Danio rerio: one gene and its partner. The protein of the gene in region 1 interacts with the protein of each later gene in a biochemical or structural test. Links are inferred from orthologs where the notes say so. Each region holds a gene or a part of one and is shown on either strand. Other genes may lie near its edges.

Region 1 (12,606 bases):
GGTGGAGTTCAGCGTGCAACAGGAGATCACACGCCTCACCAATGAAAACCTGGTGAGAGATGATTACAATAGAATAGAATCAGCAAAAATACATCTGTATGCCGATGACACAATAATATATACAGCAGCACATTCTTTAAATCAAGCTGTACAACATCTACAGATTGCTTTTCAAATATTGCAGTGTACGTTGCAAAATTTAAAATTGGTTTTAAATTCAAAAAAGACTAAATATATGATTTTTAGCCGTGGCCGCACTAAGTCAACAGATCAGACTATAAAAACTCTGAACGGTGTTCAAATAGAAAGAGTTAGCTTTTATAAATATCTAGGAGTTTGGATTGATGAGAGATTAGCCTTTGATATACATATTGACAAGTTACTGAAAAAGCTTAGGCCAAAGTTAGGTTTTTTATACCGGTCAAGAAATTGTTTTCCTTATAAAGTCCGCAAAAAATTAGTAGAGAGTACATTTCTGTCTATAATGGATTATGGTGATCATCTCTATATGCACGCAACCGCTACCCTATTAAGAAAATTAGATTCTGTTTATCATGCAGCAATACGTTTTGTCACAGGTGCAGATTCACGGACGCATCACTGTATTTTGTATGATTCCTTAGACTGGTTATCTCTATATCAAAGGAGAAAATTACATCTGTACTTATTTATTTTTAAAGCTCTTTTAGGTAAATTACCATCCTATATTTTTAATTTATTAACATTTCACACCAACAATCAAAATACTAGATCTGGTTCATGTATTCGTCTGATAGTTCCAAGGGCATTATCAGAACTTGGCAACGTGCTTTTTCCGTTCACGCTCCCAGGGCTTGGAATGACCTGCAAAATCAGCTCAATCTTGACACTCTTCCGACTCTGAGTACTTTTAAACATCTTTTATACAACATTTTAAAGGACACCTGCATTTGTTTGTTATGAGCTGATGTTTTTAAGAATGGTGATTTTGTAATTTTGTGGTATTGTTTGTGATTTTTATATGAAACTTTATGTGCTGCCTGCCATCTTGACCAGGTCTCACTGGAAGAAGAGACAGTACTGTCTCAATGTGATCTCCTGGCTAAATAAAGGAAATACATAAATAAATAAATAAATATGTTAAAAGAATTTATAATTTTTTAAATGTGTATATATATTGCCATTTCTGAAATATACATATTTTTTATCATCAGAAACATTATGTGACTTAGTCCATTCATTCATTCATTAGATATTTTTCATCAGCTTAGTCCCTTATTTATTAGGGAATATATATTTTACATTTGTTTTAAGCATGAACGTTTAATTTAGGTTAAATTAAGTTTAAACAATTTGTCAATGGGGTAACAAAAAAAACCTTGAAAAGGTAATATTGTTCTACAATAATATTTGCTGTAATAAATCTTTTTTAAACTGTTATTAAATTTGCCTGGTTTTAAGTGTTCCTAAATTTCAAAAAGGAATGCAGACATCATTGGATTGGTCTCCAAGAGTGTGTTACATGATAAAACGTATACATTTAACACAATATTAGATTAGATTCAGCTTTATTGTCATTACACATGTACAAGTACTAGGCAACGAAATTCCAGTTTAGGTCTAACCAGCAGTGCAATAGCAGCAAGTGCAGGAGACAGGTATACGTTATAAATCAGTTGTCATAAAAATAAATCAGTTGTCATAAAAATATCATCCACATGCATAAATGTAAAGAAATATGTAGTTTATTTGTTTATATTTTAACCATTTTAAAAAGAGCAGTGAAGTTAAATTTGTATCCTACTGACAAAACATTGACCAATAATAATATGACTGTGATGATTTTGTTATGCAGGACCTAAAGGAACTCGTTGAGAAGTTGGAAAAGAATGAGAAGAAGCTGAAGAAGCAGTTGAGGATCTATATGAAGAAAGTGCAAGAGCTGGAAGGTTAGATGTCTACCTTTGCTTTGTTTGTTTAACTTTTCCTTTAATACCAGATGCTGATTGGCTGTTTGTTTTTTTGCAGTGACTCAGGCCACTAAAAGCAGACCGGAGCTCACTCGTCAGTTCACTGTCCAGAGAAGAGAGAAGGACTTTGAAGGCATGCTGGAGTACTATAAAGAAGATGAGGCCTTGCTGGTCAAGACTTTAGTTACAGGTATGTGTGGTTGGATGCAGACAGGTTTTGAATGTAGAGGCTTAGAGTTGGCATAAATACCCAAGTGTTGTTTTTTTTAGACATGAAGCCCAACGCTGTGTCCGCCACTGTCCCCTGCCTCCCCGCATACATCCTCTTCATGTGCATCCGTCACGCCGACTACATCAATGATGACCAGAAAGTTCATTCACTACTGACCGCTACCATCAACGCCATCAAAAAAGTGCTGAAGGTATGAAGCACATCAGCTCACTTCCAGAATTCACAGCATACTTAGTTTAAGGGCTGTTCATACCAAGCACAATAACGAGAAATATATTTGTGTTCATACAGATTAACGTTAATGATCTGTTTATTTTTATATTATTCCTTTAATCTGGCATTATTCCTTGTAACCAGCAGGTGTCCTCATTGTGAAACTACTCTATCTGAACACTATTACTATAGACCGTTTCAATGTGGCCATGTTATTGGTCCATGAACATTTCCTGCTTGTAATCTAACTTTTTCATAAACGTAACAAGAGGCAATTCAATCATAACTTAATGTTAAAACAGTGATCATAACATTATTGATCAACGTGTCTCTTTTTGGATTCTCAGGGGCTATAGAAATTAAAAATTTGAAAACAAGATATATATTTGGACCATTGTTTTTTGTTTACATCTCTCAAAATGGGCTTTACTACTGTATACTTTAATTTATCAGCACGCCTTTCATAACTTCCATGTATTTTTAAATTATTATATTATGTATTATAGCCATTTGCTTCCATGATAGTCGTTATCTCTAAATAATCTTTTATTAAGGGATGTGCTGTTGGGGATGTTTTTATCCACTCTGGGGTGTTTTTGATTCTTAATTTGGCCATATTTTTTTCCTTGTTTCAGCTAGTGAAGTGATTTTGGTGACAAATCTTTTTTTGACACATATTTTGAGAAAATGCTTTGAAATTAAAAAAAAAAAACTCAACGATACACTCTTGCCACATTTACTACATTTTTTATATGTTTGCATAAATCTGTTAATCAACCTCAGTCTTGATCAAAACTGCTAAATTGTTTAGAAAATTACTGGATTTTAACTCTTTAATTGCTAAATTCGTAAATGATGTCACTGATTTGGTGGAAAAAAACACACAAAATGGCGTATTTTTAATATAAAAAGTTATGTGGACTGGATTTTTTTAACCGTTTATCAAAGTGCTGGACATGTAAAACAACGTTGTCTTTAATTCATTGTTTTTGATTGATTTACATTTTTTCTCCCTAGTTTACTGTTGGTGGCTGTTTTAGCCACATTGACTTTCATTACAACCACATTTATTGATTGTAAGGCCATGACATCATAAACATACGTTTGTGATTGTTGGTGGTTTTCTCTGTTGGGAAGAGGTAAAATTTGTAGTTTTTACTGTTGATCATCAGTTGACACCAATAACCCTTTAAATATGCCTGTGCAAAAAAAGCTTAGTGAGTGTGTGAGAGTGACCTTTGTGCACTTACCTTGATGTGTCTGAGAGAATCAAAATATGCATCTCAGCTCTCAGAACTACATGTAATAAATAAAACCAAGAAAAATAAATCCAGTCCACAATTACTTTTTTAATATTGAAAATATGTCATCTTGTGTTTTATTCACTAAATCAGTGATGTCATTTTTGAACACATAAATTTTAAAAACATTTAGTAGTGTTGATGAGGACTGAGGTTGACATTCATCAGCTGGGATAAATCATTCTGAAAGAGATCCCAATAATATTGCTCCTCTGTATCTATATGCTTGTAAATGTGGTGGTGGGAACTCTGCTATTCTTTAAAACTGTAAATGATCTTTATAATTATCGTGCTTGATGTGAACAGGGCATAAGAGTCATTAACAGGATAGTTCAACCAAAAATACTATTTACTCAGCGTTTACACTCCCTCAAGTGACTTTTTTTTATCTTGTAAACACAGATGAAGATGTTTTGAAGAATTTTGGAAACTGTGGAGGTCAATGGCCACTGCTTTCCAAAATTCTTCAATCTTCTTTTGTGTTCATGAGAAGAAACTCAAACAGGTTTGGAACGAAGTGGAGGAGTAAATGATTACAGAACTCTCATTTTTGGGTGTATTTCTCTTTATGAAAAGTTAGAATTTGTCAAGTATTTATTTAATTGATCAAAATTGACAGTGAAGACATTTTTTAAAAGTTATTTTTAAATAAATGTGATGAAATCTTACCAATCCTTAAACCTTTAAACAGTAGTTTGTAAGGCAATAATTATAGGTTATCAATCGTCTGTTTTTTTGACTGTCTAGAAAAACAACGATGACTTTGAGATGACCTCCTTTTGGCTGGCAAATGCAAGTCGACTTTTACACTGTCTGAAGCAGTACAGCGGCGATGAGGTGAGATTTTAGACTTTTTACATTGTTTTATTTATATATACTGTATATCTGATTATTTAATTTTGTGAATAGTAACTCAAGCTCCTTTTACCCAATTTTATTTGGTCATTTTGCAAATAAATAAGCTCAAGTGATGCTTAAAAAGTTGGCTTTTAAAGACCATATTAACCCAGTTTTAATCTTTGTGTAAAGTTTTTTTTATATTTTTCTTAATCTACATTCTGGTGACAGTTACACTGTTTCCACCTCCTGGTATTAACATTCAATTTAACATTTCTATGTTATTGTGCAAGTATTAACAGGAGGTTGATTGAGACCGTTTCTATATGTATTTAGCAGATTGAAAGTAAACTACGGCAGCTGTAATAACACAAATAACAGATTAGATTACAAATAACAGCAAAGTAGTTGTTTTTCTTGATAATATGTTACAAACCAGCTTCAGATGTCAGCAATTCTGTTGCTGTCTTTTCCTATCATGAGATAAATACATCTCATGTATTTATCCTTTCCTTTTCTGACTGTAAATGTCTGGTCGCTGGAATCATGTGGACAAACACAGTAGGGTACCAAGCCCTATTTGTTAAAAGTTGATATACATGAATCTGAATTATAGAGTGTCCTATGTGTATCACCCATGGCTTTCCGATCTTTGTTTATTTTTTTAATAAACAGTGTGAGATGTCATGTGATGTTGTTCATCTGAGGTGTTATCTTTCAAATTTTAAGACCTACCAAGCAGTTTTTTTTAATGTCTTGAAACTAAAAAACCTGAAATTCAATAGGGTGTCTTTTTACACGACTGTAGTTACTTAAAATAAGCCAATAGTCCACAGGGGAGCATCAAAAATAAAGTGTAACCAGTGCTCGGTATGATTTGCCTGTCTAATTCTGTCCTAGGCGTTCATGACCCAGAACTCTGCCAAGCAGAACGAGCACTGCCTGAAGAACTTTGACCTGGCGGAGTACCGACAGGTTCTGAGTGACCTCTCCATCCAAATCTATCAGCAGCTTGTGAAAGTTGCCGAGGCCAACATGCAGCCCATGATCGGTAGGTGCAGAGAGACACCAAACCAAAGAAGATTGATCATTAGCACAGTACATTTTTTCATAATGAGTGTGTTTTGTAGTGTCTGCCATGCTTGAGAGCGAGAGCATCCCCAGCCTGGCCGGAGTGAAGCCCATGGGTTACAGGAACCGCTCCTCTAGTGTGGACTGTGAGAGTGGAGGTCCCGCAGGATACACGCTTCAGGCACTGATCAAACAGCTGGCTCAGTTTTACTCTACCATGGCGGACCACGGCCTGGACCCTGAGATCAGCCAGCAGGTGCTTCGCCAGCTCTTCTACTCCATCAACGCAGTGACCCTCAACAACCTGCTGCTGCGCAAGGACGTCTGCTCCTGGAGCACCGGCATGCAGCTCAGGTACACATTTTTAATGCTTTTAGGCTAATTAATATTTTTCTCAGCAGTCATCATAGTTAGGTAAACTTAAAGAGCAGTGAATGGGTTTAATTACAGCCACAAAGTCAATAAGGGCTTTAAAATGTGCATTTGTATTAAATGTTTGATGTAATCTTAATCAAAATATAAAGAGAGGGTGGGGCAAATAGTAGCATGATTAGCATGATAGTAGCATAAGCTCTTTTTTTAAAAACAGCCAATAGCATTTCGTTTTCATTACAGCTCTGCCTTAAATAAGAAGCGCTTTGAAGGTGGTAGTGGGGGTGGCGGGGGCATGTTAGATACTAGAGCACATTTGATTGGTCAAGATTTGGTAAGAATCATTGAAAAAAAACGTTGATCCATTTAGACGGAACTGCAAACTGCAAGCTTTGGGTGTTTACGTCAGGTTTATATCATCTAAACATGAAATTCGTCAATGCTTTGGAGAGCACTAGACATTTAACACTAACATACTGATACTAACACCTGAAAAACATTATTTGCCAATGGTGCCAATAGCCTAGTGGTTTTTGCAGCAACATGTTGCACTGAGGTACTCATGGCAACCCAAGTTCAAATCCCGGCTCGAGATCCTTTGCTAATCCTTCAAGTCTCTTTCTGCTCCCAATGCTTTCCTGTCTAAAATCTCCACTGTCCTATCCTAATAATGGTGAAAAGCCCCTAAAAAGTAATAAAAAAAAGAAAGATATTTTGCATGTTACCTTGGTGAAAACCCTATGTAAAGCATCATTTGTTTGTGTTTATCTTTTTCTTTGATCATACTCTGGAGTTTAAACAGGTCTTGGTAAATTGGGTCTTGTAGATGGTTTGTGATGTGTTTTTTTTAGTCCTGGGCAAAAATTGATTCATCTCATCTAAACTAAAAGTTTGTTTTGACATTTGAATTTAAGTGTGTGTATATTTATTATGCATGTTCTGTGTAAAAACACATGCCTGCATAAATCTCACAAATTGTTTATTTATATTTAGATTTAGTATATACAAATAGGTTCATAAATATTTGGACTTCGACACAATTCTAACATTTTTGTGTTACAAGATGTGCTTTAACTGCAGACTTTTTACATCTAAATCAGGTGAAAGCTGTAGGAATTACAACCGTTTGTATATGTGCCTCCTACTTGTTAAGGGTCCAAACGTAACTGGACAATTGGCTTCCAAGTTGTTCAATGGCCAGGTGTGTGTTATACCCTCATTATGTCAATTACAATGAGCAGATAAAAGGTCCAGAATTCATTTCAAGTGTGCTATTTGTATTTGGAATCTGTTACTGTCAACTCTTAAGATGAGTTCCAATGAGCTGTCATTATCTGTCAAGCAAGCCATCAATAGGCTGAAAAGAAAAACACCAGAGAGATAGCAGAAACATCAGGTGTGGCCAAACAACTGTTTGGAACATTCTTAAAAAGAAAAAAATGTCCCAGTGAGCTCAGCAACACCAAAAGACACGGAAGACCACAGAAAACTGCTGTGGTGGATGACCAAAAAATTCTTTCCCTGGTAAAGAAAACACTCTTCACAACCGTTGGCCAGTTTAAGAACACTCTCCAGCATGTAGGTGTATTTCTGTCAGAGTCAACAATCAAGAGAAGGCTTTACCAGAGTGAATACTGAGGGTTCACCACAAGATGTAAACCACTGGTGAGTCTCAAAAACAGGAAGGCCAGATTAGAGCTCTAAAAAAGCCTTCACAGCACTAGAACAATATTTTATGGACAGATGAGACCAAGATCAACTTGTACCAGAGTGAAGGGAAGAGAAGAGTATGGAGAAGGAAAGGAATGGCTCATGATCCTACACAGTGAAGCATGGTGGTAGTAGTGACATGGCTTGGGCATGTGTGGCTGTCAAAAGAACTGGTTGTCTTGTATTTTATTGATGATGTGTCTGCTGACAAAAGCAGCAGGATGAAATCTGAAGTGTTTCAGGCAATATTTTCTGCTCATATTAAGCCAAATGCTTTAGAACTCATTGGATAGTGCAGATGGAAAATGACCCAAATAAAACTGCTAAAGCAACCAAAGAGTTTTTGAAGTGAAAGAAGTGGAATGTTATGCAATGGCCAAGTCAATAACCTGACCTGAATCCGATTGAGCATGCGTTTAACTTGCTGAAGACAAAACTGAAGGGAAAATGCCCCAAGAACAAACAGGAACTGAAGACAGTGGTTGTAGAGGCCTGGCAGAGCAACACCAGTAATGAAACCCAGTGTTTGATTTTAAGTTTGATTTATGATTATTATTCTGTCTAATTACTTTTGGTCCCTTAACAAGTGGGAGGCACATATGCAAACTTTTTGATCTCAAATACCCTCAAATTAAAGCTGACAGTCTGTGGTTAAAGCACATCTTGTTTCATTTCAAATCTATTGTGTTGGTGTATAGAGCTAAAAATGTTAGAATTGTGTCGATGTCTAGTTCTTTTTTGTTTGTTAATTCTTGCTTCTTTCTAATTTTGTTGCATTCTTTGCATAGGTAAAATATGTCAAATGTGAAACCTTTTTGCAATCTTTGACTTCAAGAAAACATAATTGACTAAAAAAAGTAATGTCAGATGAATGTAACGTGTGGTTTCAGGTACAACATCAGTCAGCTGGAGGAGTGGCTAAGAGGGAAGAACCTGCACCAGTGTGGAGCTGTGGCCACTATGGAGCCGGTCATTCAGGCCGCGCAGCTGCTGCAGGTGAAGAAGAAGACATCACAGGACGCTGAAGCCATCTGCTCGCTCTGCACTGCACTCAGTTTACAGCAGGTACACATTTAGCTTTCATTTTTTTCCTTTCTATTTGTTTTGTTTTGTTTTTACTTTTATTAACTCAATTTTGCTCTATCTCAGATTGTGAAGATTCTGAACTTGTACACACCACTCAATGAGTTTGAGGAGCGAGTCACTGTTTCCTTCATAAGAGACATACAGGTAAAATGAAGCACACATACATACATGCACTTATAAATCAAAACATTTAAGCATTCCATATTAAAAACAATGAAATTTTGAGGTCACAGCACAAGTTACAGAACATACACCTGCTTGAAAAGTATAATGCTGCGTCCCAATTTGCATACTATCCGCCCTAAATAGTATTCGAAATTAGAATTAGTATGTCTGAAACCATAGTATGTTGAAAAAAGCATGCCAAAGATTCCCGGAGTGTCTACTATTTCTAGTAAAAATGCGAAATGTAGAACTGTCCATAGTCTCACCCAGACCTGGCCATTTTACGGCCAGTGAAGTATTTATTTAATTTAAATTCAACTGCAAAAAGGGCCTTTCAATGCACAGGTCTGATATTGCGAGTGAACAAAAAGGGACTTTAACATATAGCATCTTTTGCCCTCTCAGTTTCATTATTTTAAATGGAGACATGCCTGTTCAGCGCGCAAATACTGTAGGAAGAGATACACATGTGGTATGTCACGCTCACGTTTTCCAGGCGACACGGGTTGAAAAAAAATCTAAACATTTCAGTGCAGCAAGCGAACCACAAGTCATGTGAAAGGAACCAACCAGGCAACTTCACACTTTGTATAGAATTACACAGTAATAAAAGTAGACTAATTACCTCAGATTAATGGTTTAACAAATGCAGATACAGATCCTCTCTCAGTGATGATCATTACAGCACATATCCACCTCACATTGGCCTGAATTCAGTGCGCTTGTTCAGCCCAACTCAGGCTAGAATTCTCTAAGTTAATATAAAAATTAAGGATAAATAAATAAAATGTACCTAAGGTGAAGCAATCAAATTATGAAGGGAAAGAAGTAGAATGTTATGCAGTGGTCAAGTCAATCACCTGATCCGAATTCGATTGAGCCTGCATTTCACAAAACTGAAGGGAAAATGCCCCAAGAGCAAACAGGAACTGAAGACAGTTGAGTAGAGGCCTGGCAGAGCACCACCAGCAATGTAAATACCCACCGACATGGAACTTTCGCCTGTGTTATGGTACCTTGTTGCAATTTTAGTTTCCCTAACGGGATAATAAAGCAGAGTCTGAGTCACTGTGGTGTTGATGTGAGAGTGACGTACTGCATGTGTATCTCTTCCTATTTGCGCGCTGAACAGGCGCATCTCCATTTGAAATAACGAAACTGAGAGCGCAAAAGGCATAGCTAAAGTCCCCTCGTGTTAACTCGCATTGTCAGATCAGAATGAATATTAACTGAAGTAAAGCAATCAATCAAACAACCCCGTGGCATTTATATGAAGTCAGTATTGTGATGCTGCTCTTTAAAATACTTTTTATTTAAAATTGATTCTTTTTTAAACGAGAGTTTTTATGAATGTTAATTGAATAGTTTCACAGAATGTTTTTATTTTTTGAAAACAAATACCTGTATTGGTCTAGCTTTCTATACCCCCCAGAGTCTAATGTGGACCCTGGAAAAATTAGTTGCACACCCCTGCTCTAACCACTAATATTGCCCCAATACAGTGTGCATTAAATTTGATTAGTACTACAAACTTGGGTAAAAAGTGTAAACAAGCTACAAACATGGACGCACAAGACCAACTGTTAAGTAAAGGGGCTTTGGTTAAGAAGTTTTAATGACTATGAGTTAATTTCTAGCCAACTTTAAAAAAATGAAATCACGTTTTCCATGTTATAGTTCATCTGCAACACCAATATGAACTTCTATAAAAAAAATTAACATATTTATCCAAAGAACTAAGGAGATTTTCTGCATGAAAAACTTGCGAATGTTAGATTAACCTGCTTCTGCATCTTCAATAAGGTAGATCATTAAATATGAAAGAAATGATTGACAGGGGACCTACTGTAACTAACTAAGCAACAAGACATCCATTAATGAAGAAGTAATATGTCCCAAAACTTGCATACTCTTCAGTTACACACTCAAACGTATGTACATTTTCTTCACAGAACAACTACATACTTTAAAGACGTAGTATAAGCATGTGAATAGAGACTAGAGTATGAATATTTTCTGATGCCTTCTCGGTGCGATTATCTGATGAATACGCTCACTGTCCTTCACAGAATCGCCTCCAAGATCGAATAGAAAACAACCAACTGCTGGCGGACACGAAATACACCTTCCCCGTGCTCTTCCCGTACACTCCTTCCAACCTCAGCCTGGAAACCATCCACATCCCAGCCTCCCTCAGCCTGGACTTCCTGACGCGGGTCTGACATCTCCGTCTCTCTGTCTAACACTGAGCTCCGGCACAATCAAACCTGCAGAAACCAGAGCTGGCCGGACGCAGATCTGCTAATATAACCCACATACTAACACCACCAATTCGACCTGTGGGTACTTTAACCAGATGAACCGTCTTCTCCCTGACCGACTAACTGTGGTGTTGAAGTCTGATGAACTATGCGGTGTAAATAAGCTGTCTGCCTTTTCACTCACTCCCTGAACAAAGTGAAAACGCTGTATTTTGGATGGGGATGCGTTTGACTAATACTTATGATTAAATGGAAATGAAAATACGAGGGTTTTTGGGCTACTGACACTAAACACTAATACCAGAGTGTGTGTTCGTCATGTATCTGTGTTAGTATGCACTGATTTCTGTGTGTTTGTAATGGAAAAGTGTATTTTATTTTTCTTTGCTTGTGCTGGAGTTTCATCTCAGAAAACATGGACTCCTACTGAAGCAGCGCCGCCATCTTGTTTTTTATTTTCTAGGAGAACTTTTAAAATGGGCTCCAGAGATTCATTTCCACAGAAGACGCTGGAAATCTCTGCATTGCAATGGCTGTTTCCACTGTGACCAATCTGGATTTGCTCTGAACATGGTGTTTTCATGTTTTTCCCATGTGTTGAAGAATCTGATGCAGAGACTCGGGGCCCTGAAACACAGAGCCAAAGGGATAGGGCAGATAGTGAAAGTGTCATTGAAAAGCGGAAGTATGTGAAGCAGAGAGACTCAGGACGTCGAGAGGAGTTTGAGCTGGGATATTTAATATGCTGTGGAAATCAATAATGGTGGGATTGTCGTCTGTCGGTGGAATCTAGAATGTGCTGCAACCACAATTTTTAAAAGATATCTAATAGACGTCTAATAGACATCTTAACAAAGTCGTCTTGGCTAAAACAAGGATAAATTTGCGCTGTTATACACCTCTAAGAATAGGCCAAAACTAGACTAGTCATCAAATAAACAGAAATGAATGACTGCACATATAAAGTCTGTCTAATCTGTCAACTTGACAACAATAGTTTTGGGCTATTCTTAGATGTCTCTTAGATTTTCACTGACGGCCCAAGTTTAGCCTTGTTTAGCCAAGCTGTCTACATTTAGATGTCTACACTGCAAAAAATGCTTTTCTTGCTTAGATTTTTTGTCTTGTTTCTAGTCTAAATATCTAAAATTTCTTATATCAGGAAGCATTTTTTAGACAAGCAAAACATATTGCCTTGATTTGAGAAATAATATGCCAATATTAAGTCAGTTTTTCCTTAAAACAAGCAAAATAATCTGCCAATGGGGTAAGGAAAATAATCTTGTTTTTTCTTTTGATGTAAGATTATTTTGCTTACCCCATTGGCAGATTATTTTGCTTGTTTTAAGGAAAAACTGACTTAATATTGGCATAATATTTCTCAAAACAAGGCAATATGTTTTGCTTGT
Region 2 (14,028 bases), on another chromosome or scaffold:
TCAATTGATGCATTGATATCAAAATAACATCAAAACACACACAAAAAGTTAAAAATGCTAATAAAAATGCTAATCGATTTGATGTCAATTGACTGCCTTGATATCAAAATAACATCAAAACACACACACACACACACAAAAAGAAAAAAATTGCTTATCAATTTAGTGTCAGTCAACTGCCTTGATATCGAAACGACATCAAATTGACATCTAAAATTGCCATCAAGTGCTTCAAGAATCAATGTCATCAATTTGATGTCATTTTAACATTAAGGTAGTTTACATGCATTGAAGGGATACAAAATCCAGTTTACTTTTTAATTAAAGCTTTCAGCTGAATGAAACTTATGGTATAATATAAGACTTAAATGAACGTCAAGGTTTTGACATTTTTAATGTGTTTTTTGGGTCATTTTGGCATCAAGGTGCCTGTTGGAATGGAAATGAATGGTTACTGGTTTCTAGCTTTCTTCAAAATATCTTCTTTTGTTTTCAAAAGAAGAAAGTCAAACGGGTTTAAATGGTGAGTACAGTACATGATGACAAAAAACATTTTGGTGAAATAGCCCAAAATCATTTTTCACTTCTCTAAACCCATGAAACAGAAAAAAATATGTTACTTAAAGTTTTTATTTGTTGTTTTACATACAGTCATTTGTTTGGAGTCATACAAATATACACTAACCTCAACATCCTCATCCCTCAGACAGAATATGAACATGCACAAAATACTTTCAGTTAGTTGCATCATGAAGAGAATTTGTGCTGACACAAGATAAGATAAGATTAATGTGCTCTCATAAAATATCTTAATGTTACCTTTGACAACGTTAATCCATTTTTTTCAAACCCATCATATTCATGATTCGGCCTCAGAGGTTTTCTCAGTGCTCAAAGTGCAACTTCCTAACTTAACGCGGCTATGAAAAGGGGTGAGAGGTGATAGCCTTTAGTGATACTCAAATAAACACTCTTGAAGTATTGTTCCACACAATGGACTTTTCGGCAGCTGCAAGCCCCAAAATACCGTCACAGGCTACATGCACATCTGCAGATCTATATATCAAGGGCGCATCGCACACCCTAACATTCCACAGAGCGAAGCGCCGGCAGTGATTTGTGCTCTTCTCTCCTGCTTTTTTTCATTCTTATTATTAAATTTTCATCTGTAATCTGAATGTCCTCTCTTAAAAGCAGAGCCTTTTAAATCAATCTCGCAACCCGAGCGTAAACCTGAAGCGCATTATGATGTTACAATGGCATCCCTTCACCTTCTGGTGCTCCCTTCGCATATATATTGTCGTGCGCTAACAGATGTGCAATCTTGCAGCCAGAGATGCTTAAACGTGTTTAATAAATGTAAAACAACCTATATAGTGTTGAAGAAAGGGCTCTAAAGCAGAACCAGCTGTCTGACCGTGGCGAGAGACCTTACAGAGGATTCGGGCCCATAAAGATGATGCCTAATACAGGCCAACACGTGGGCCTTTGCTGATATGCAATACAGGGTCCTGTTGAATATTGGACAGTTTATGGGCTACAACATCATTCCTCTGGAAAAGTGGACTGAGGCCATACGTTACTCTGGGCTAATTTATGACTTGATGGATTTTTTTCCTTTATATACTCTATCAGAGGAGAACAATAAAAGGAAGCAGGTGAGGTTGGAATGTAAGAGCCTTTCATGTTTTTATCCCACTCCAGAGGCGCACAGGCGTATTATGGTCTTAGAAGGTAATACATGAAAGTGTCTAACAAATTGTCAAATTAAGGATTGGTGTCATGACCCCTGGTGGTGTCTCTTTACAGCCGTGAGCCTCTTCCACCCCATGAGATTCTGTAAAAGTGAAGAGTGTAAAATTGAGAACTGAATTTATGGTACAGAGTTGAAAAAAAAAAAAAAAAAAACATCTTTTCTATCTGTCTATGCTTTGTCTGTTTTTGCTCCGCCAACAAAAATAGATTAAAAAAGCCACAGCAGAACTGTTGCAACACGTAATAGTGATGTTTTTATACTAATATTATTCTCTCTTTTATTATAAAGAATTGTTACAAAGTGGATTGCAAAGATGATGTTTGGAGATTAAGTGAAGATAATGTAGGTTACATGTAAACACTCTGCACATTAATAATCCTACTTCCATACTTTTTTTTAAATGAACAGGTTGAGTGAATAATTCAGTAACTTATCTGAACATGTCTACTTTCATATTCAACCATTTATTCATTTTTTTTTTTTGGCTCAGCCCCTTTAATTGATCTGGGGTTGCCACAACGGAATAAATCGGTAACTCAAGCATATGTTTTATGCAGTGAACGCCCTCATTCACACTAATTCACTACAGACAATTTAGTTTACCCAATTCATCTATACCGCATGTCTTTGGACTGTGGGCAAACCGGAGCATCCGGAGGAAACCCATACGAACACAGGGAGAACATGCAAACTCCACACAGAAATACCAACTGACCCCAGCCGGGGCTCAGCGACATTCTTGCTGTGAGAAGATCATGCTACTCATACAATACACAATGTAAAAAAGAATATGACAAAAAGTCATGACAACAAATGAGTGTACGTTACTTTAAATTATTATTATTTTTTTTTTTTTGTTACACATACAGTTCTAAATTTTTTTGTTTGTTTGATTCACGTTGAGATTGAGAGATGGCTAAAAAGTTAAGATGATTCGAAAAAAAAACTAATTGTAGGCATTTTTAGTGTAAGAAAAAGCAAGTTGTGAGCTGAGTTTGAGTAAATGATTCAAATACTTTGTCACTTCTTTAACTTTAGAATGAACCTGCTTGTTTGAATGAATAGGTTAAAGGTGCAGTTGGTGATCTGTCTAAATGCTAACCGGTTAGCATAATATCTTTCAAATACATTCACCTGCCGTCCAAAGCAACACTTCTTAAAATCGCGAACGCGTACATTAAAGATGCCGGAGACTCACTAGATCATGTCATTTGCCAGTTAGCAAACTTTATAGTTCTTTATAATACTACAGTTCTGAATGAAATACTGTATTATATCTAGCATGATTTCAGTTGTGTAGTTAGCAAGCAAAACTTGACGTAATGTGCAATATTTTATGCACTTTCTCCTAAAGCGACTACTGTATGCTCAGTGGTTGGCCAGCAGGGTGCAGGAATTATACTTATAACGTTATTTTTATTAATGAATTATACTTATAATCGAATATTCAAAGTAGTATGGTAAGCAATAAAGAGGCCGTGTCATCATTGTTCAAAAATGAACCGATGTGAATATAAAACCTCAGCTCAGTAAAGCAGGCTAGGTGGAATATCGCAATTTACTTACTTTTGTTGTGAAACTAAATAAAAAATGACATTATTGATGCTGTAAAAGTTTGCGTAAGAAATTGAAATTGAAGTTTTAAGTGGCTTAACATTTTCATCCTTCCTGCAGCGTGCAAAAGTAACTCCAATATTAATTCAGGATTTTAAAAAGTTTTAATTCAACATTTGTTTTTACCGCTTTCACTCGTGTCCACGGCGCATGAACACACATCGGCAGATTTGCATGAACGGGTGCGCAGTTGTACAAATCTACATTTGCTGACAGTTAGTTTAGGCTTCTTATCAGAATTATGGGAATTATCGGCTTGACAATTTTTAATTGGATGAACATTTTTTAGTCTTATGCCTTACCAAGAATATAAAAATACATATAAATAAATTTTGATCATTTAATTTAAACATTATTATTGGAATAACAAAAACAACATAATAATACATAACATAACAACAACAACAAAAAAAAAATAATAACTGCACCTTTAAGTGGATAATTCCGTTACTTGCTTTAAAACACTCTGCAGTCCATTTGTATAGTTTCTAGTATATCAGTATACTTAGTTACTATACATAGCCATGTTTGATTAAATTATTCAGTGAGTAATTCAGTTTTTTGCATTTCTTAATGAATTTCATGCAAACACACTCTGTATCTGAATAGGGCTAATTCCATACTAGTGTTAGCCTGAGCAGTGTGTCCAGATTTATGTGTGAAACCAAATGTACATATACAGTAGTAAACAACTTTTAAAAAAGCCACAGGAATCTCTTCTTTAGTTCCTTGATGAATTAGCATTTCTCTTTTAAGGGTTAATAAATAAAGAGTGACTGAAAACATCTCCACAGGAAATACACAGATATTCTCTCAGTGATGTATAAAATAATCAAATGAGTGATACAAACAAGAAACGGCTATACACATGGACAATAAACATGGCTCCTTTTGACTGTGAAAGCACCTTCAAGTATTGCATGCAAGACGAGACAATCTTCCGCTCTGATTCCTCAGCTGCTTCCTGGTGTTTGCAATGAGGCTTAACTGGAAATGGCACAGGCAAGGGCCTCTCCTCAGTTTAAGCTGTCTTAAATGCATTTTATATGACCTAATATTTCACCACACCAGGCCCATTTTCATCCTGAGATACACTGCAGATAAGAGTTATAATCTATGTGTGACGAATGTGCCAGACTCATGCCTCTGACTCTGGTATGTACACAACACTCTGCGGTTATGGCAGGATGATGGGGATAAGGAGACAGAAAATGAATAAAATGAAAGAGCAGGTGTGTTTGGTTAGGTTCTACCTGTCAAGTGGGTGACACACACACACACACACACACACACACACACACACACACACACACACACACACACACACACACACACACACACACACACACACACACGTCTGTATTTAAATGTATCCCTTATCAGTACTTCAATGTCTCCACTCAAGAACATTGGCAGGCATTATGTTAACATGTTTGGTCTGTTTAGTTTTGTTAAGAGACCCCAACAGACATGTATTGACTTTACTGTCTACAAGAGTAGACATTGTATGAATCTCAGATAGGCTGAGGATGGGACAGAAGAAATATTCAGAGGTAATTCTTATCATTTGATTTTTTTTCTAATCTTTGATAATGCTAATAACTGGAAATCCGGTTTTCAAGCTTAATCAAATGCAACATAAATGTTCTCTGTAAGTTAGATAAAAAAATGATTATCTTTCGGTTTACAGACAGTGTCCACTACAACTTCATTTAGATTTACTTAAGAGTACATCAAAAAATCTTTTTAGGCATAAAATCATTTCATGACATTAAAAGAGTTATTTTAAGTCAGAGATGCCCAAAGTAGGGCCCGCAAGCCGAATATGGTGCATTGTAACTTTTGATTTGGCCCATCGTCCCATCTGAGAAGAGAGTGAGACTGATGAAGAGGTTTGGGGTGAATGCCTTTAAATGAGATGGTAATTTTTAATTTGACAGTACCATTTTCTTGTTTGTTTGTTTTATTTCTGAGCTACCAAAAAATGTTTTGATTATTTGTTGTACATGTATTAGATTTTTTATTATGTAATTAATTTCACTTGATAAATAGAGGAATATGCAGAAGACATCGGTGAGCAAATCAAGGCAAAAACTAGTGTAACTCCATTCTGTTATACACAAGATTGATTTTGTTTTTACTTTAATAAGTTCATTATAAAATGTAAAACATGCGGTATTAGTTATAGTTAATAAAGAGCAAAGTTTTCTAGTTATTTTAAAATATTATAAAATAAATTAGGAAGTTACCTAAAGCAACTAATATTGACCTTCGGCCCACTATCCTCAATCAAGTTTGGCTTTTCATCCCTTTATAAGGAAAAAGTTTGAGCTCCCCCGTTTTAAGTAGTTTTAACATTATAATGATGGAAAATTTCATCCATATTTTGCCATTTAGTTGTTACTAAAGTAATTTGGAAAATAATTAAAGTCTGCAGTTAGTTGATCAAAAACACAATAAATTAATTGTAATATTGTATTTTTTTTTTCTTTTTTTTCTTTCCTGGGGTGACACGGTGGCTCAGTGTTTAGCACTGTCACCTCATGACAAGAAGGTCGCTGGTTCGAGTCCCGGCTGTCCAGTTGTCGATTTTGTGTGGAGTTTGCATGTTCTCCCCATGTTCGTGTGAGATTCCTCCTGCTGCTCCAGTTTCCCCCACAGTCTAAAGCCACACGCTATAGGTGGATTGAATAAACTAAATTGGCTGTAGTGTATTAGTGTATCTGAGTGTGTATGGGTGTTTCTCAGTACTGGGTTGCAGGGCATCCGCTGTTTAAAACATATGCTGGATAAGTCAGCGGTTCATTTCGCTGTGGTGACCCCTGATGAATAAAGGGACCAAGCCGAAGGAAAATTATTGAATGAATGAAATTTTTTTTTTAATTAAGATAAATTGTCATTTTAGAATAAATGTAATTAATTCATGTGATTCAGAGATGAATATCAACACCCCAATGTCACATTATTATAATTTCTCAAAATATTTTAATAATCAAGGGCACATTAAATAAATCAAAATTGCCATTAAACCTATATACTGTAATGTTTCAAAATATTGTATATGAAATTATCACTGTTATTTTAAACATTGTATTTATAAAAGTACCATGAAAAACATAAAATGGAACATTTAAAAGAAAATGTTCCAACATAATGATACTTCAGTGTTTTCGTTTTGTTATATTTTGGAGTAGCCTAAATGCAGACTTGGTGAGCAGAAGAGAGCTCAAAACATAAAATAATAATAATAATAATAATAATATATATATATATATATATATATATATATATATATATATATATATATATATATATATATATATATATATATATATATATATATATATATATATATATATATATATACATATTAATAAAAATATAAAGGACCATTTTAGTATTTTCAATTTTCCTAAACATTTGACTGGCAATATTATACAATGCATTACAACATTTGTCCTTTTTTAAATTCTTGACCTGGTTGAAAGCAAAAGCAAAAGCGCACTGCTGAAAATAATGCTCCTCAGCCCAGTCACCGGAATCCCGGGAACAGCGCTGATCAAATCCATGGCAACAGAGGAGGAGTCTACACTTCGACCCATGACCGCATCGGCGGAAATGAGGAAGCAGGAAGTCGAGAGCAGGGCTGATGTGGAATACCACACATTTGTTTAAGATGAATTAGTGTCGATTAGAGTAAGTTATTAATTTACATTTACCGCAGATGTGGAGAACTGAAAGGGTTTCACTGTAGCGCTCTTCACACGTGCTGTGGTGTCGCTCGCTGTGCTCGAGAAAGATGCTTCACAGGTAAATATCAGAGCATTGTGCTGAATGGGTGTTTGACAGCACCACTGAGACTGGGCAATGCAGCTAGCCGAGCATCACTGGTGCTTTTCTATCATATCCGATCAATTAAATAAGAGGAGACCGCATGGAGGGAACCATGAAGAAGATGATGATGATGATGATCATCATCTTCATGTGGTGGTAAAAAAAAAATCCTTAGTATAAAAGTGACATAAAAGTAAATAAATTATGTAGCTGTTATAATTTGCCAGTTCTTTAAATGTTATATTACAGACACTAAAAAAACTTGCACTACTAAGCTACGTTACTAATAGTTGTTTACAGATGGCTGTCACACATTTAGCGTTATTTTTCTGAAATTATGTATTTTTTACTTAATATTTTTACTATATGCTATATATGTTTTACTAGTATATACTTCTGTGTGTATACTGTATGTGGCAACATAATTTAAGTCTATTTGATTTTTACAAATTTATGTGCACACTGTGGGGAAATAAATTTTATTTGATTTATTAATTGCTATATAGTCTCAGATTTACGTATGTTGTGTTGCCTATTATGTCTCACTTGTTTGTTAGAAGTACTCTGCTTTTTCTTATGTTATTCTTGTGTTTTATTTATTTGTTTACTTGTCAGGGGTTTTATTAATTTGGGGGCCCTAAGCAATTTCAGCCCAACATTCCTAAAATGCATTAAATGAAATTACATATTTTCAGCTACTGAAAATTCAATACATCTCCAACATGAGCACACTTTAGATTCTCGTTGTATAGGGCTGAGCGATATGTCAATATTGCAATCTCAAATATTTTTCATATTGACTAATAACGATATATATTTTGATATAAGTTGTTAATGCTTCCTGTTTTAAAGAGTATCCCAACAATGACTGAAGCCACAAAGATTAGACGCTTCATTAAATTATATTTTAAAGTATTATTAATTAACAAAAACAGTTGACACATTATGCAATTTTTTTTGGAGATTCCAATGTTGTATAATATACTTATGATATACAATGTGAAATATAATATTTTGAAGAACTGTCGTTGACATAGAGTACACAAACAAAGATACTTATTGCATTTTCTAAAAATGAACAATTACAGATTTTTTTTTTTTTTAAATAAATGTTTTACTTAATTGAAATTGTAAAAATATACATCATTAAAATAAGCAACAGTTTAAGAGCTAATACTGCTAGTGGGAAAGTTAATCAAGCTCGATAAACAATACTGAGTGAGGTTGCATTTCCCTAATATCAACACAATTACAGATTCCTGTTGTTGCATATGTGTGCTGTAGGCATGAGCCGGTATAAGATTCTGATGGTATGATAACCTTGGATATATCAGGGTATCATGGTGTTGTGCTCACTGCTCTAAAATTTATTCTTTTTAACTGTCTGGGTAAAAAAAAAAAAAAAAAAAAAAAAAAAAACTAGAACTTTTTTCTCCTTTTGAACACAATATATACTTTTGTTTTAAAAATGTTTCAGAGCAGTAAACTGTCAGGGTAAATAATTTAAATGAATCATTGACTTCTGCTGTCTTCATTAGTTTCAAAAACACAGATTTCTTTACAATTTAAAACAGCAAAATTTAATGGACATTTTTAACTGCTGGAGAAACTGTTGTCCTAAAAAACAAAACAAAAAATGTAAAGTAAAAATCTTACACATACCTAAGAATGGTAATACAAAAAATGTTGCCAGTTTTAAAACCTTGACTTTTTCAAACCGCAGTATACCTTGAAAATGATTATCATCCCATGCCTAGCTGTGTGACTGGCTCTTTGCATTGATCAATATTGAGTAAAAATTTCCAGAGCTTATTATTGTTATTGACATACATTTTATCATGATTAGATATGATATTGTTTATTGCCTGAGCTCTATTGTTGCACATTTCTGCTGTGTGATTGGCTCTTAGGTCGATATAGAGTAAAAAAACCCCCAGAGATTATCATTGTTATTGACATAAATTCTATCTTAATTCAATATAATATCATTGTACTTTTATTTATTTTCTGTTGATTTATTTTGGTGTTTTTTTGTCTCTCTCTTTCTGTTTTACCTTAATGCAATCTCTACATTGTAAATGGTTTACTTAACATGAATCCAATACTAATTGTACAATATAGTTGTAGAAATATAAATAAAGTAATATTTATTTTATCATGAATTAACATTATATTGAAAAATATAAGTCAAATGCACTATTGTTTTTTTCACACTGTTTTCTGTCTTTTGTCTTTGTTTATAGGTGACCTAAGTTGAAGCGGGGTGAATGTGGAGTGTTTGCGGAGTGTAACAAAATCATTACCTGCTCCATTAATAGATGTGACTGTAATGCTAAATATGCTCTTCACTTGCCCTTGAACAACTTTCGTTTGTATTACCTCTCAGTCGCTCATTTCTTGTTGATTGGAAGCTAAAGGAAAAATGGAAAGGCCAAACTAAAGTTCTACACTTCATCACTTCACACCAAAGTCCATAATTTTACACTTGAATTCATCATGTCATTGGGCGAACAGTCGCAAAAGTGGTTTCCAACCCATGTCCAAGCCACTGTTCTCCAAGCCACAGACCTGCAACCAAAGGGCAAGAATGGAACCAATGATGCCTACACAATCATCCAGCTGGGCAAAGAAAAATACTCCACATCGGTGGCAGAGAAGACCCTGAACCCAGCGTGGAGGGAAGAGGCTTCATTTGAGCTTCCAGGGCTGCTAATGGAGAGCAATCCAGAGGTTTATGAGCTCTGCCTCACAGTCATGCACAGGTCCTTAGTGGGACTGGACAAATTTCTGGGCCAAAAACTCATTAACTTAAATGAGATATTCGACAACAAGGAGCGGCGAAAAACTGAGTAAGTAGTTTAATTTTTCATTATATCCATTTCCTTTAATAGTCTACAGACAAAAGTCTTGTAGAAACACCCAACTGTAACATACCTTTAAATAAGCAGAAGTATAGCTTAAAAGAGGAATATGATACTCCATGTCTGTGTTGGTTTTTGGTACATTTCATGGTAACAGTGAAGTAAGTGACGTTTTTATGGTATTATAGGGCAGGGCGATTAATCGAAGGTCATTTTCATGCAAATTTAGATTTAAACCTCCAGCACATGCTTTTAGATGGAGCAGCATTTAATACAGAGCCGTATAACACTGACAGCGTATAATAACATTCAAAGCTAAAATCAATTTAGGTGGATGATAATGACACTGACATCATTATAATCGTTCTGTGAAAATGACGTCTGCTTTTGTGTTATAAATACTAATAATACCGTAATAATTTATGTTTTTACTCCAAACCTGCTACATAACAGCGATCATCAGTCGAGTGTTTGAAATAAATCCTTCTGTGAGATGATTCCGTAGTCGTGTGGTTTATAAGGCAGCATCAAAGACTAAAATCAGTATTAGACTGATTCAAAGCAGTTTAGTTTTCTATTAACAGTGCAATGCTATGTGGATTTCCTGGGTTTATGAGTTTTTTTTATATTTGCTACTGATCACACAACCATGGAGAAGATGTACACATAAGCTGTAAAAGATATGAACATAGTATTCGTGACGTCAACCATAGGTTTTTGAAGAAAGCAAAAGAAGCTACAAGTAGGCGTGGCCAACCATTGCCTTTTTGTTTGTGCGTCATCGCACCGACCAGGGGATACCAAACAATGGCAACGAGGCGGAGCATGAGCGGACCATCTTAAATAAAGCAAATACATTTATAGAGATGGTATACAAGTATATAATGGAGGCTTTGTGAGCACAATTTAGTGCACACAGCATGCCATATCATCTGATAATTGTAAGAAATAATTCCAAAATGCAAATGACTGTGTAAAGCTACATAAAACAAAACAAAACAAAAATATGATGTATATGACGAGTTCAGATGCTAATCAGCTGGAATCAGCTAAGGTGACCAGCGAGACCTAGTTGTCACTCAAGTGGCCCCGCCCTTAATTTTGCAGACTTCACTTAATATAATTTAATATGAACAAAAAGAATGAGCTTTAAAAAAATTACCCCCTCACAGTTGTCATGAAGGGTGATATTAGCTATATGAACCAAAATCTTTCTTTGTACCAGGCTGTAAACACCTTTTTTTTCTGCTGTAAATTTGGCCATTTTAACATTGGGCTCAATAGAAATCTGCTCTTTTGTGGCTCCACAATAGTGGAATAAACTAGCAGGATTTCGATGAATTGCAGTTTCTGTTACTTCCGTATTTGCTTCACGAGGGACAGGGGGAGGTTGCCACTTGAATGTACATGACAATCTAAATTGCATATGCAATTTCATTATGATTAATCGGCCAGCCCTGTGATAGCAGTTATTACTTTATCTACACAATTCATAAAATTGTTGTAAAATCACAGTTCTTACTGATAGTTTTGGATTGTCTGTATCTCTCTTGTTAGATTTTGCTGATTACCTTTATGAGAACAGACCTCAAAGTCTCACTCTGATATCTACAGAGACCTTAGTAGGTAATGCGTGTCAGCACATTGAAGCCAGGTCAGTCAATAATACTCCAGTAATAGCAGAATAAATGGCTTTGAAGTGACTTTGCTATTTTTAGCTCTTGTAACACTCAGTGATGCAGTTTTCTTTTAACATTCAGATAATGTTTTACCTAGTCCTCTGACGTAATCTCTGATCTTTGTTTTTGACTCTCATTGTTGTCATTGAGTTTTAAGTTATGAACATGCTATTGCTGTGCATTACTATAACAGTCTTATGCAGGTTGCTTTTATTCTTGTGTGAGATAAAGGCTCCATTTAACTTCAGTTTGAGTCACAGTCCCATGGTGGATGAACTGGTCTAGTGAGGATGACGATTATCATGCATGCTATTACTTTCCTCTTTGCTATTTAGGGCCTGATGACTAACTGTTGGGTTTTTTAATCCATGTGACTGACTTCCTTGTTTTGTTAGATGTGATATACAGTAGGCTGTCAAAACCTATGTATATAGGGTGTTTCATAAGTCTTAATATTTAATATTTCTCTTTTTTGGCATGCATGTACAGACTAGCAGTGTTTTATTAGAGTATTAGGACAGAAACTTGTATGGCTGGTTGAAGTAGAAAAGGCAGTGCCGGTGTCTAACAGAACTCATCTTAGTGGAACAAAAGCATTAACTATGTGAGGTAGCATGAATGTATTGAATGAGCCTCTAATACAAGTATTGTGAACAGAAAAAAATCCTTATATGAGTTTATTAAATATGATATATTCAAGTAAAATCATAAAAGCAAAAGAGGTGTTACACTGTATCGTCTGTGCACAAGCGCAATCACAATTTAGATTTAGATTTTTTATACAGTAGTTTAAAGAACAATACATTAGGGCTGAGTGATTAATCGAAAATTCGGTTTCGATTTTGATTTTGGCTACTAACGATTATGAAAAACCAATAATGGAGATAAACGATTATTGCATCAAATACTGCCCTTTTCCAGTTGTACACATTTGTTGCTCTGCAAAGCTCAGTTTCACATAAAAAATGACTAAAAGCATGTACTGTAATGTAATTTTGCAGCACGAGATGCGCATTGTTCATTGATGAACATTGGAATTCATGTTTTTAAAAGCGCAAATGAGACTGCATGCTGCTGTGTGTGTGTACATGCTGTCAGCATTTGGTCTCATTCGCAAACTGTGCACTTGGCGTCAGAGATGAGCAGAGCACACACATCTAAAGTCATCTTAATGTGCGCTTTAATGGTCAAATTTTAGTTTAGTTTATTTGTTTACAGGGTCAATGCACATTAATAAACATTACTGTAAAATGTGCCACAATTAGCCAAGAATGGCTATTTTTTATCTGTAGACTCCTTACAGAATGTTAAAAAGTCACACCTAAAATAGAAGCACAGCATAATAGGTGTCAAAACACGGTCTTTAGTGATTTTTTTTTTTTTTTTTTGAACTTGAGAACCATAGGACTTGCGAAAACCTGAGGGACTATATAACAGACCTAATCCAGGTAGAAACACTGTTTTTTAAATGATCGTTATAAAAAAAATCCAAGATTTATTTGTTGTCTTAATTGTTCAGTTAATCATGTAAGTTCATGTAAATGTTCTTTTTTATGATTATTTATTTATTGCAGAACAAAGCCAGCATACATAGCTAGCAACAACTTTATACAAGCCAGGGTTTGCATTAAATGAAAATACATAAAGAAATTACAAAAAATAATAATAGTAAAATAAAGACAATAAAATAATAAATGAATAACAATACACAGAAAAAGAAAAGCTCTGGGGTGAGAATTAACTAGTTAACTATTTAATTAACTAAAAATTTTCTCAATAAAATCGGACCATGCTTTGTTTGTATGGGGTTTAGCTCTGTTAATTCTTGCAGTGGAACGTTCTAACAGTGCAATATTTTTTTAGTTCAATAAGCCACATTTTATCCGCTGGGAATGAGGGTTCATGCCATATTTTAAATATAACTTTCTTGGCTGCAGTTAGTGCAGTATGAAATATCCTGCGTTGGGAAGTGTTTAGGTTTAGATCATAATCATCATTCAATAAACAGATATTAGGGTATTTGGGAACATGTAAATGTTAATGCAATTGTTCAATTACCTTTCTCATAATGCGCAATACATTGATCCATATCACTAATTAACATATTATAACAGACTTAACATTGTGGAGATATTAAAATAACATTTATTAAAATATCTGTATGTTCAAGTTTTTATTTAGTATTTGGTGTTGCAAGCTAAAGCAAAGGTTTTATCATTGGCAGTTGAATAAGATGCAGCATCTTAGGTAATAAGTGAAAAATCATACTTGTCTAAAAAAATAG

The links.
Region 2: the proteins of myo5b (region 1) and rab11fip2 form a complex in vitro, tested with the Homo sapiens proteins (2 studies listed by BioGRID). The link is inferred for Danio rerio from reciprocal best matches to the Homo sapiens genes MYO5B and RAB11FIP2.

The regions. Positions count from the first base shown.
Region 1 is NC_133196.1:23,907,549-23,920,154, reverse strand, and holds the end of myo5b (unconventional myosin-Vb), read left to right. Parts: coding exon 1-52; intron 53-1,834; coding exon 1,835-1,928; intron 1,929-2,007; coding exon 2,008-2,139; intron 2,140-2,219; coding exon 2,220-2,371; intron 2,372-4,442; coding exon 4,443-4,532; intron 4,533-5,432; coding exon 5,433-5,583; intron 5,584-5,662; coding exon 5,663-5,957; intron 5,958-8,575; coding exon 8,576-8,750; intron 8,751-8,834; coding exon 8,835-8,915; intron 8,916-11,005; coding exon 11,006-11,158; downstream 11,159-12,606. UniProt on the Homo sapiens protein: May be involved in vesicular trafficking via its association with the CART complex. The CART complex is necessary for efficient transferrin receptor recycling but not for EGFR degradation.
Region 2 is NC_133188.1:22,752,081-22,766,108, reverse strand, and holds the start of rab11fip2 (rab11 family-interacting protein 2), read left to right. Parts: upstream 1-6,984; 5' UTR 6,985-7,180; intron 7,181-9,447; 5' UTR 9,448-9,700; coding exon 9,701-10,053; intron 10,054-14,028. UniProt on the Homo sapiens protein: A Rab11 effector binding preferentially phosphatidylinositol 3,4,5-trisphosphate (PtdInsP3) and phosphatidic acid (PA) and acting in the regulation of the transport of vesicles from the endosomal recycling compartment (ERC) to the plasma membrane.